Canis lupus familiaris: one gene and its partner. The protein of the gene in region 1 purifies or fractionates together with the protein of each later gene. This does not show direct contact. Links are inferred from orthologs where the notes say so. Each region holds a gene or a part of one and is shown on either strand. Other genes may lie near its edges.

Evidence for each region.
Region 2: the proteins of NCOA4 (region 1) and ferritin heavy chain purify together in Homo sapiens (co-immunoprecipitation; 6 studies listed by BioGRID and IntAct, counting the BioPlex papers as one, with this or other methods). This does not show direct contact. The link is inferred for Canis lupus familiaris from reciprocal best matches to the Homo sapiens genes NCOA4 and FTH1.

The regions. Positions count from the first base shown.
Region 1 is NC_049249.1:1,952,210-1,955,796, forward strand, and holds part of NCOA4 (nuclear receptor coactivator 4), read right to left. Parts: intron 1,788-3,587; coding exon 1,633-1,787; intron 154-1,632; coding exon 13-153; intron 1-12. UniProt on the Homo sapiens protein: Cargo receptor for the autophagic turnover of the iron-binding ferritin complex, playing a central role in iron homeostasis. Acts as an adapter for delivery of ferritin to lysosomes and autophagic degradation of ferritin, a process named ferritinophagy.
Region 2 is NC_049239.1:55,066,988-55,071,166, reverse strand, and holds ferritin heavy chain, read right to left. Parts: upstream 2,835-4,179; 5' UTR 2,656-2,834; coding exon 2,542-2,655; intron 1,157-2,541; coding exon 1,010-1,156; intron 698-1,009; coding exon 572-697; intron 473-571; coding exon 308-472; intron 307-307; 3' UTR 217-306; downstream 1-216. UniProt on the Homo sapiens protein: Stores iron in a soluble, non-toxic, readily available form. Important for iron homeostasis. Has ferroxidase activity. Iron is taken up in the ferrous form and deposited as ferric hydroxides after oxidation. Also plays a role in delivery of iron to cells.

The DNA of each region.
Region 1 (3,587 bases):
CAGCCACCTTACCCAGTAGAGCTGTTGGGCCTGCTGCTGAAGTGTCTCCTCTTTAAGCTGATAGATGAGATCTACCTGTTCATACAGCCACACCTCACGGCTTCGGAGGCATTCCAGATGACGGCTTATGCAGCTGTGAATCTGGGCTTTGACCTAGTAAACACATACCTATTAGCTTCACTACTGTTATAAGCCTAAAGAATGGTGAGTTTCTTTCTTTCTTTTTTTTTTTTTTTTAAGATTTTATTTATTTATTCATGAGAGACAAGGAGAGAGAGAAAGAAAGAGGCAGAGACATAGGCAGAGGGAGAAGCAGGCTCCATGCAGGGAGCCCGACGTGGGACTCGATCCGGGGTCTCCAGAATCACACACCCTGGGCTGCAGGCGGCGCCAAACCGCTGAGCCACCCGGGCTGCCCAAGAATGGTGAGTTTCTTAAACTTCTGAGGGTCACAAATCCTTTGGATTATCCAATCATATATATGGAACCTCTCTCCAGAAAAATACGTATCATATACTCAAAATTTTGCCTGTAATTTCGGGGTTGCAGGTCCCGGTAGCACACCCATGGAACCACCAAAGGCCCACAGACCCAGTTTAAGAATTTCAGCCACAAAAGCTCTAAATCCTCCTTCCATACCCCATCCATCCAAAGAGGAGCGGGTTTATTTGGGTGGCCTGAAATAATCAAGAAAAAAATAAAAAGGATATGTAATACTGATCCCCTAAGTTTTTCATAGAATTTGAAAACATATATAGTCTTACAAATTTGTCAGTGGAGTAAGATAGAAGTATTAACTTAATGGCTAGCTAGCCCTTGTCTCTTTTCTCACTCTATGAATGAGCAAGCCAGTTATATTAGGCCAATTAAATAAAGAGATGTGCCACTACATGTCAACAGCCAGAAGACCGGTGGGGCAGAGTTTAAGTAAACCTGTAAACTAAATGTTTCTGAAAGCAGAAGTAGTGATTCAAAAAAGAACAAAAATAAAAAATCCAAAGGAGAGTGCTCATTTCAGCAACATATATACTAAAAATCCAAAGGAGAGAAGTCAAAACACCTATAATTATCCATGAGAATCCGCATGAGAAACTATTTTAAAACAAAATTTTTCTATAATAAAGTTGTATTTCAAAATCATGTAATACTTGGTCTTCCCACTCACCAACAGAATATTAGGCCAAGGGAACAAAGAGATTTCATTTTGACTTGATTCAACAGATAAAGTGATTTACATTACATGCCACCAACAAAGCCATGCCACCACGAAGTTAAAAGCTGGTAGAGGCCATGATGCAGCACCATCCTTTATGCATCAAGGACACAGCTGAGCAGAATACTCATTCATTTTGTTATTTTTTTATTGATGGCAGTGCTTGGCACAGGGACCACAAAGAGGAGCAATTAAAAAATGCATGCTGAACTGAAATCTTTGAGGTGGCACAAGGTTTTCCAGACTCTTCTACCATCTGTTTAATTTCCTTTGGGAATCAAAGGCACCAACATTTCAGGCATACCAAACAAGACATGGGGTGTAACCTGGTTAGCACAGAGAAGCAAAGTCCTTAGCCATGCTCTAACCAGCCCTGTGCTAAAAACCCAGACAAGAGAAGAAAAAAGCGCACATCACACCTCTTGTAAGTTATCTTTAATTTGCTGTTCAGCCCGGAGAACTCCACCAATAGCAAGCTCCAAGTCCCTCCGTGCATCACAACACCTCAAAAGGGGTTCTCTATTACTGGAGCGGCCACTCTGGTCCTGTGAGGTACTCATTCTGCTCACTGTTCCTGTGAGAGGAAAAAAAGAAAAATCTAAATTGCACTGTAATTTCAACCAAAAACCACCTTTCAAACATGCCCCAAATGATCATTCCAATGAGCTCTCAATTACTAACTTACTTAGATCACTTCCAAAACAGGACCCGGCACATAGTGTACTCTTAATAAATACTGCTTCTTCTTCCCTGCCCACCACTACTGCATTCCTCCATACAATTCTATGCATCTACTTTAGTGATACTTTACATGTAAACAGATTATTCCTAAAAAACAAACAACCCACTAATTTTCCAGAACTGATAGGGCATATAGCCTCCAGAAAGTTAAAAGAACACTACAGTGTAAGTTTCTGTTTATGAAACACATGAAGTCATAGGGGGCATATGTTCTTGTTTTACAGATTTAGAGGTGAAGACTTAAAAGGTCTAGAAGGATCCATAATCACTCTGAAAAGCAGCTACAAACCAATAACTTGGTAAACAGTTTAGAACACTGTTTAGATCTAGCATTTACCTGGACTGGGAAATGGAAATTTTAAATTATTTTCTTTTAGGTAGAACTTTGTTTTTTTAAACTTAGGAAGAATTTAGGAATGGTTTCAGAGCTAGGAAGCTCTCAAGAGTGTAAATCTAACAAAATAATTTCATAGTATTCTAATATAAGGGAGATGCTCACAGACATTGGTGTGGGAAACTACAAAGTTTTCTAATAATCTTGGGCTTACAAGAGATAAGAAATAGAATTGGAAAGAACAGCACACAACCAATGATATACTGAGACTGAGAAGAATGTAAGAAAAACCATGAAACCAAGCTTGATAATAACTGTTGGAAGAGGGACATCTGGGTGGCTCAGTGGTTGAGCATCTGCTTTTGGCTCAGGTCATGATCCCAGAGTCGGAGTCGTGGGATCAAGTTCCATACGGGGCTCCCTGCAGAGAGCCTGCTTCTCCCTTGGCCTGTGTCTCTGTCTCTGTGTCTCTCAAAAATAAATAAAATATTTTTTAAAACACTAGAAGAAGTCTGGTGTCTATCTTGGATAGATCTAGAATCAGAGATGGTTTCTCAACATTTAGAAAAAAACAGTAATCAATGTAGCTCAGCATGTGTTCACATAGCCCTATGACACCAGAGTTATTTCCTTCTTGGACAGTTTTACTAAACTGGCCATTCAATGCAATCCTGTGGCCACAGTCTATCTGGATGCTCAACACATGATCTGTGACAAGGATATATCCTATCTTTGGGGATAAAGTGAATATGAGCTAAAAAGAAGTACAACTAAATGGAATCCGAAGATTATTTTTTACAAACAACTCAAAAAGTCACAGACTGGGGATCCCTGGGTGGCACAGCGGTTTGGCGCCTGCCTTTGGCCCAGGGCGCGATCCTGGAGACCCAGGATCAAATCCCACGTCGGGCTCCCGGTGCATGGAGCCTGCTTCTCCCTCTGCCTATGTCTCTGCCTCTCTCTCTCTCTGTGTGTGTGACTATCATAAATAAATAAATAAATAAATAAATAAATAAATAAATAAATAAATAAATAATTTTTTAAAAATTTAAAAAAAAAGTCACAGACTGAAGCCCATCTGTAAAGTTTTGAGGTATGTTTTCCCTAATTACTCACCTGTTTTCCCTAATTACATGGATAAAAACAGAAAGCAGATACGACAGTCACAGTTAACAAAGGACTTTGATAAAAACATTCTACATACCTGTAAAATGAAAATGTAAATGTTTAAAACTTGAATGGGGGATGACAAGGTGGAAGAGAATAAAGTGTATTTTAAAAGGATGAAGACTTAGTTGA
Region 2 (4,179 bases), on another chromosome or scaffold:
TTCCTAACTAAGGACTTTAATAAAACACAAATCCCTCCCTAGGCATGTCATTTTGGTTACTGTGACTGAACTACAACACCTCAGCAGATTTCACAAAGATGACCTACTAAATACATTTCTAGCCCATCCCAAGAACTCAAGAAACAACAGCTGGGTACCAAATTACTTTATTTGAAGGAATGATACAAACGAAAGAAGTAGATGTTTCGGTACAACTTATAGAAAAGGTAAAGGTAACCCCAACATGCATGCACTGCCTCGGTGACCAGGGAAGTCACCCTGCGGCTATGGGAAGACAGCCTAAGGCTTAGCTCTCATTATCACTGTTTCCCAGGGTGTGCTTGTCAAAGAGATACTCTGCCATGCCAGATTCGGGAGCCCCCATCTTGCGCAGGTTGGTTACATGGTCACCCAATTCTTTGATGGATTTCACCTGCTCGTTCAGGTAATGAGTCTCAATGAAGTCACACAACTAGAAGACAGAATGGGGAAGAATGTTAACGGTACACTTTCCCAACCCCTAAAGAGGGAAATGACTCCCTCCATTCTCTCCCAGACTGCCAACACTCACGTGGGGGTCATTTTTATCAGTGGCCAGTTTGTGCAGTTCCAGTAGTGACTGATTCACGCTCTTTTCCAAGTGTAATGCACACTCCATTGCATTCAGCCCATTCTCCCAATCGTCACGGTCTGGTTTCTGAACGAGAGGAGAGGAGGTCAGGTCAATGCACGTACAGCCTCTACCTATTATTGCCCAAGTCAGCAAACACCTAACATGCAATCGTTGTGCTTTGGCAAGAGGGACATCCCAGTTTCTCCCACAATGGTTTCCAACTTAACAGCCTTGTGCCCATTACCGTTCACCTCCTTCAACTTAGAAGATAGGCTTAAAAAAACACAGAAGCCAAAAGTACTTCATTTTATAAGAGCAACTGCTAGCTTGAGGGATTTCTGACACCCAAGGACTTGCCGGATAGATGAGACACAGGATCTAAGATGTTTTGTTCACCTTAATATCCTGAAGGAAGATTCGACCACCTCGTTGGTTCTGCAGCTTCATCAGTTTCTCAGCATGTTCCCTCTCCTCATGAGATTGGTGGAGAAAATATTTGGCAAAGTTCTTCAAAGCCACATCATCGCGATCAAAGTAATAAGACTGAAAAGAGAACACGAACATGTTCTGTTAGGAATTGCCAAGCCTAGCCTTTCTTCCTCAAAGTCCAGCAAGAAAGGAGTCTGCACTGAAGACCGCGGACAGGCTGTGCTCTTGGACAGAACACAACACTAGTCTGTACTCTAAAACACAAAAATGAAACGCAGTCCTGGACATTTAAAGTTTACTGCAAGGAACCTTTAGAATATCATAGGGAATTGCCCCCAGCAGATAAATTCTTAAAGCCCTATATGAGAGCAAACTTCTTCTGGCCAGTGTCGCATTTGATTGGAGAGGGTGTGGGAGTATTTACCCTGTACTCCCTAACTCCCTGATTAAACCCATGTTAAAACATGAGCTTGCCAGCTTACAGCATACTGACGGATCTCTAAGATTAACCCATTAGGCAAGGTGACAACTGCTGGCAACGCTAAGCTGTACAAAGAAACTGCCAGCAGAAAACAGAAAACTTGATTCCGTTTTTAGACACTCGCTGAATCCAGGTGTTCCTGAAATGGAATGGCAGTCGCGGAAATCCAGGCCTATTTTCAAATTCATCTGGAACAGGTCTATTCTTAGATAATTTGCACAATCGTAAGGCAATCCTTTTTCTTTTTTTTTTTCTTTTGCAATCCTAAGGAAAACGCCCACCACACCGCCTAAAACCAGGATTTTGGAAAATGGATTCCATCGATCAGCACGGAAAGTTTCCTTGCCCAGTGACTGTTGGTGTAGTTTATTCTAAAACCAAGGGTTCAGCCACAAAAGGATAAAGTACTAAATGCCCGGGCAAGAGGACGGATGACTAAGACAACCGTGTGCGCAAAAGGGGAGATTTCCCTGCTTCAAGTGGGACTGGGCGATAAGCAGAACAGAGCGGGTAGCGATGGCTGCTCCAGAGTGGTCGGCCCCCGGGAGATAAGCCACTGAGCACCAACCCCCGCCCCCAACGGTTGCTATTCGACACCATTACCCAGCAGGCTCCGCCAGTCGCAGGGAGGACGGGGGCTGGACCACTTCGCCCCCGTCACCCAAGCAAAAGGACAGCCTCGGGGCCACGTGATCGACACGGAGAACAGGATGGAAACGCACACCCCGCTTTCCTAACTGCAGGATTGTGCCGGTTGCAGCTGCCGCAAGTCGGGGATTCCTTGAAACCAGGCTCTCTCTAAATACGAAGCGGCGCGCAGAGGCGGCCCTTGACTAAGAGGGAGCCCTCCCAGGGGGCCGTCAGAAAGGCCGAGCCGGCCAGAGTTTCTGCGCACGTCCTGAGAGGCCTCGAGCAGCGTCCATTTTCCAGCAGGGCGAGCAGGGGCGGGAGGGCCCAAGCGTCAGCCACACCCCCGCCCCGCCCCGCCGCCCGGAGCCCGGAGCCGAGCGGCGCTCACCATGGACAAGTAGACGTAAGACGCGTAGAGCTCCAGGTTGATCTGGCGGTTGATGGCGGCCTCGGAGTCCTGGTGGTAGTTCTGGCGCACCTGCGAGGGGGACGCGGTCGTCATGGCGGAGGCTGAGGAGAGGCGGCGGCGGCGGCGGCTGCGCGGCGCTGGGGCGGCGGCGGCGGAGGCCTCGGGGCGGTCCGAGAGCGCTGCGTGGAGGTGGCCGAGGGCTGGCTCTGAGCGGCGGGCCCGGGGAGGGGAGACGAGCGCCGGGTTCCGTCCAAGCACTGTTGAAGCAGGAAGCCGCGGCGACTCTCGGCGGAGACTGGCGCAGACCGCCGAGGCCCCGCTCTTATAGCGGGATCGGGCGTCACGCCCACTCCAGCCAATCAAGACGCCCGCCCGCGCGCGGAGCCCCGCCTCTTCCGGCGGGCGCGCGACCCCGCCCTGGGGGCGGTGGGGGAGGGGCGGCCCCGCGCGGGCTGAGGCGGCGGGCGTGTGGCCGCGCGCGGGGCGGGGCGGGGCGGGTGTCCTCGGCGTCCCGGCTCCCGCGATGGGGGGGGGCGGGGAAGAAGTGCGGTCGGGGTCGGGCGCGGAGCCCCGGCGCCCGGGGCTGGGAGCCGCCGGCACGTGTCCCCTGAGCCGTCCGGGCGGGCTCCCCGAGACATCCTGCCCCGGGGGCAGGTTAAAAGTCCGGGCGGCGGGGCAGCAGTTACCACACCCGGGGGGATCTCCTCGGGCGTCACCTGGAAAGTGGCAGTGGGAGCCCTAGGAGGTTGCGTCAGTTAGAGGTGGGGCGGGAGGGGCTCGCTCTCCCTTCCTCAGGGTCCGGCCGGGAGCGACACGCGGACGGGCTGGGGTCCCGGGGGCCGTCCCCGACCCTCGCCAACATGGCTCCCGGTGCAGCTTCCCCGACAGAGGCTGGGCGGGCCGTGGTTCCCGGGGAGATGCGGTGAGCGGGCGCCTTCGAGGGGGAGCCGTGAGGGACGAGCCCCCGGGGCTTCTGAGAAGATCCGGGGACGGGTTAGAAAAGGGAGGAGAAGCCACTGGGGATCTGGAGACGGAGCCATCTTGGAACGGCTGCCTTGGCGCACCCGGGTCAGGCCACAGCCGGCTCAAGCTGAGGAGATCTCCCGGGGAGCCACCTCCTGGGGCTGCCCCTGCGGAGCGGCCGGTGGGCACAGTGTCCACGGGACCGGGCAGGGCAGGGCAGGGCCGCCGAGTCCCTTCCTTCCAGGCGCCCGCCCTGTCGGCCGGCTTCCAGCTCCACTGTTCGCCACCAGGTCCTTCCGCACGGCTGGGAGACCTCGCCGAGGCCCTTTGGACGCTCACAAACATGAAACCTTAAGCTGAACTTCGCAACCTCAACAAAAAGAAGGCAGGCTCTAAAATGTTAAAATTCGTTGCTGACGGAATTCTGGTGATCTCTTTCTTGGGTCTCTACTGTTTTCGTTTCGGAATGAACATTTTACCTTCAGGAAAAAAAAATTTTTTTTAGGTCTAAAACTACAAAAATAAAATAAAATAAAATAAGCAGAAGCCTGTGGGAGAGTGTAGACGAGGAGTGCCTTATCCAGTCTGGGATAGAAGGCCAGGGAAGGCTTCCCTAGGAAAGTGACAGTTGAGCTAAGTCTGAAGAAAAAGCTA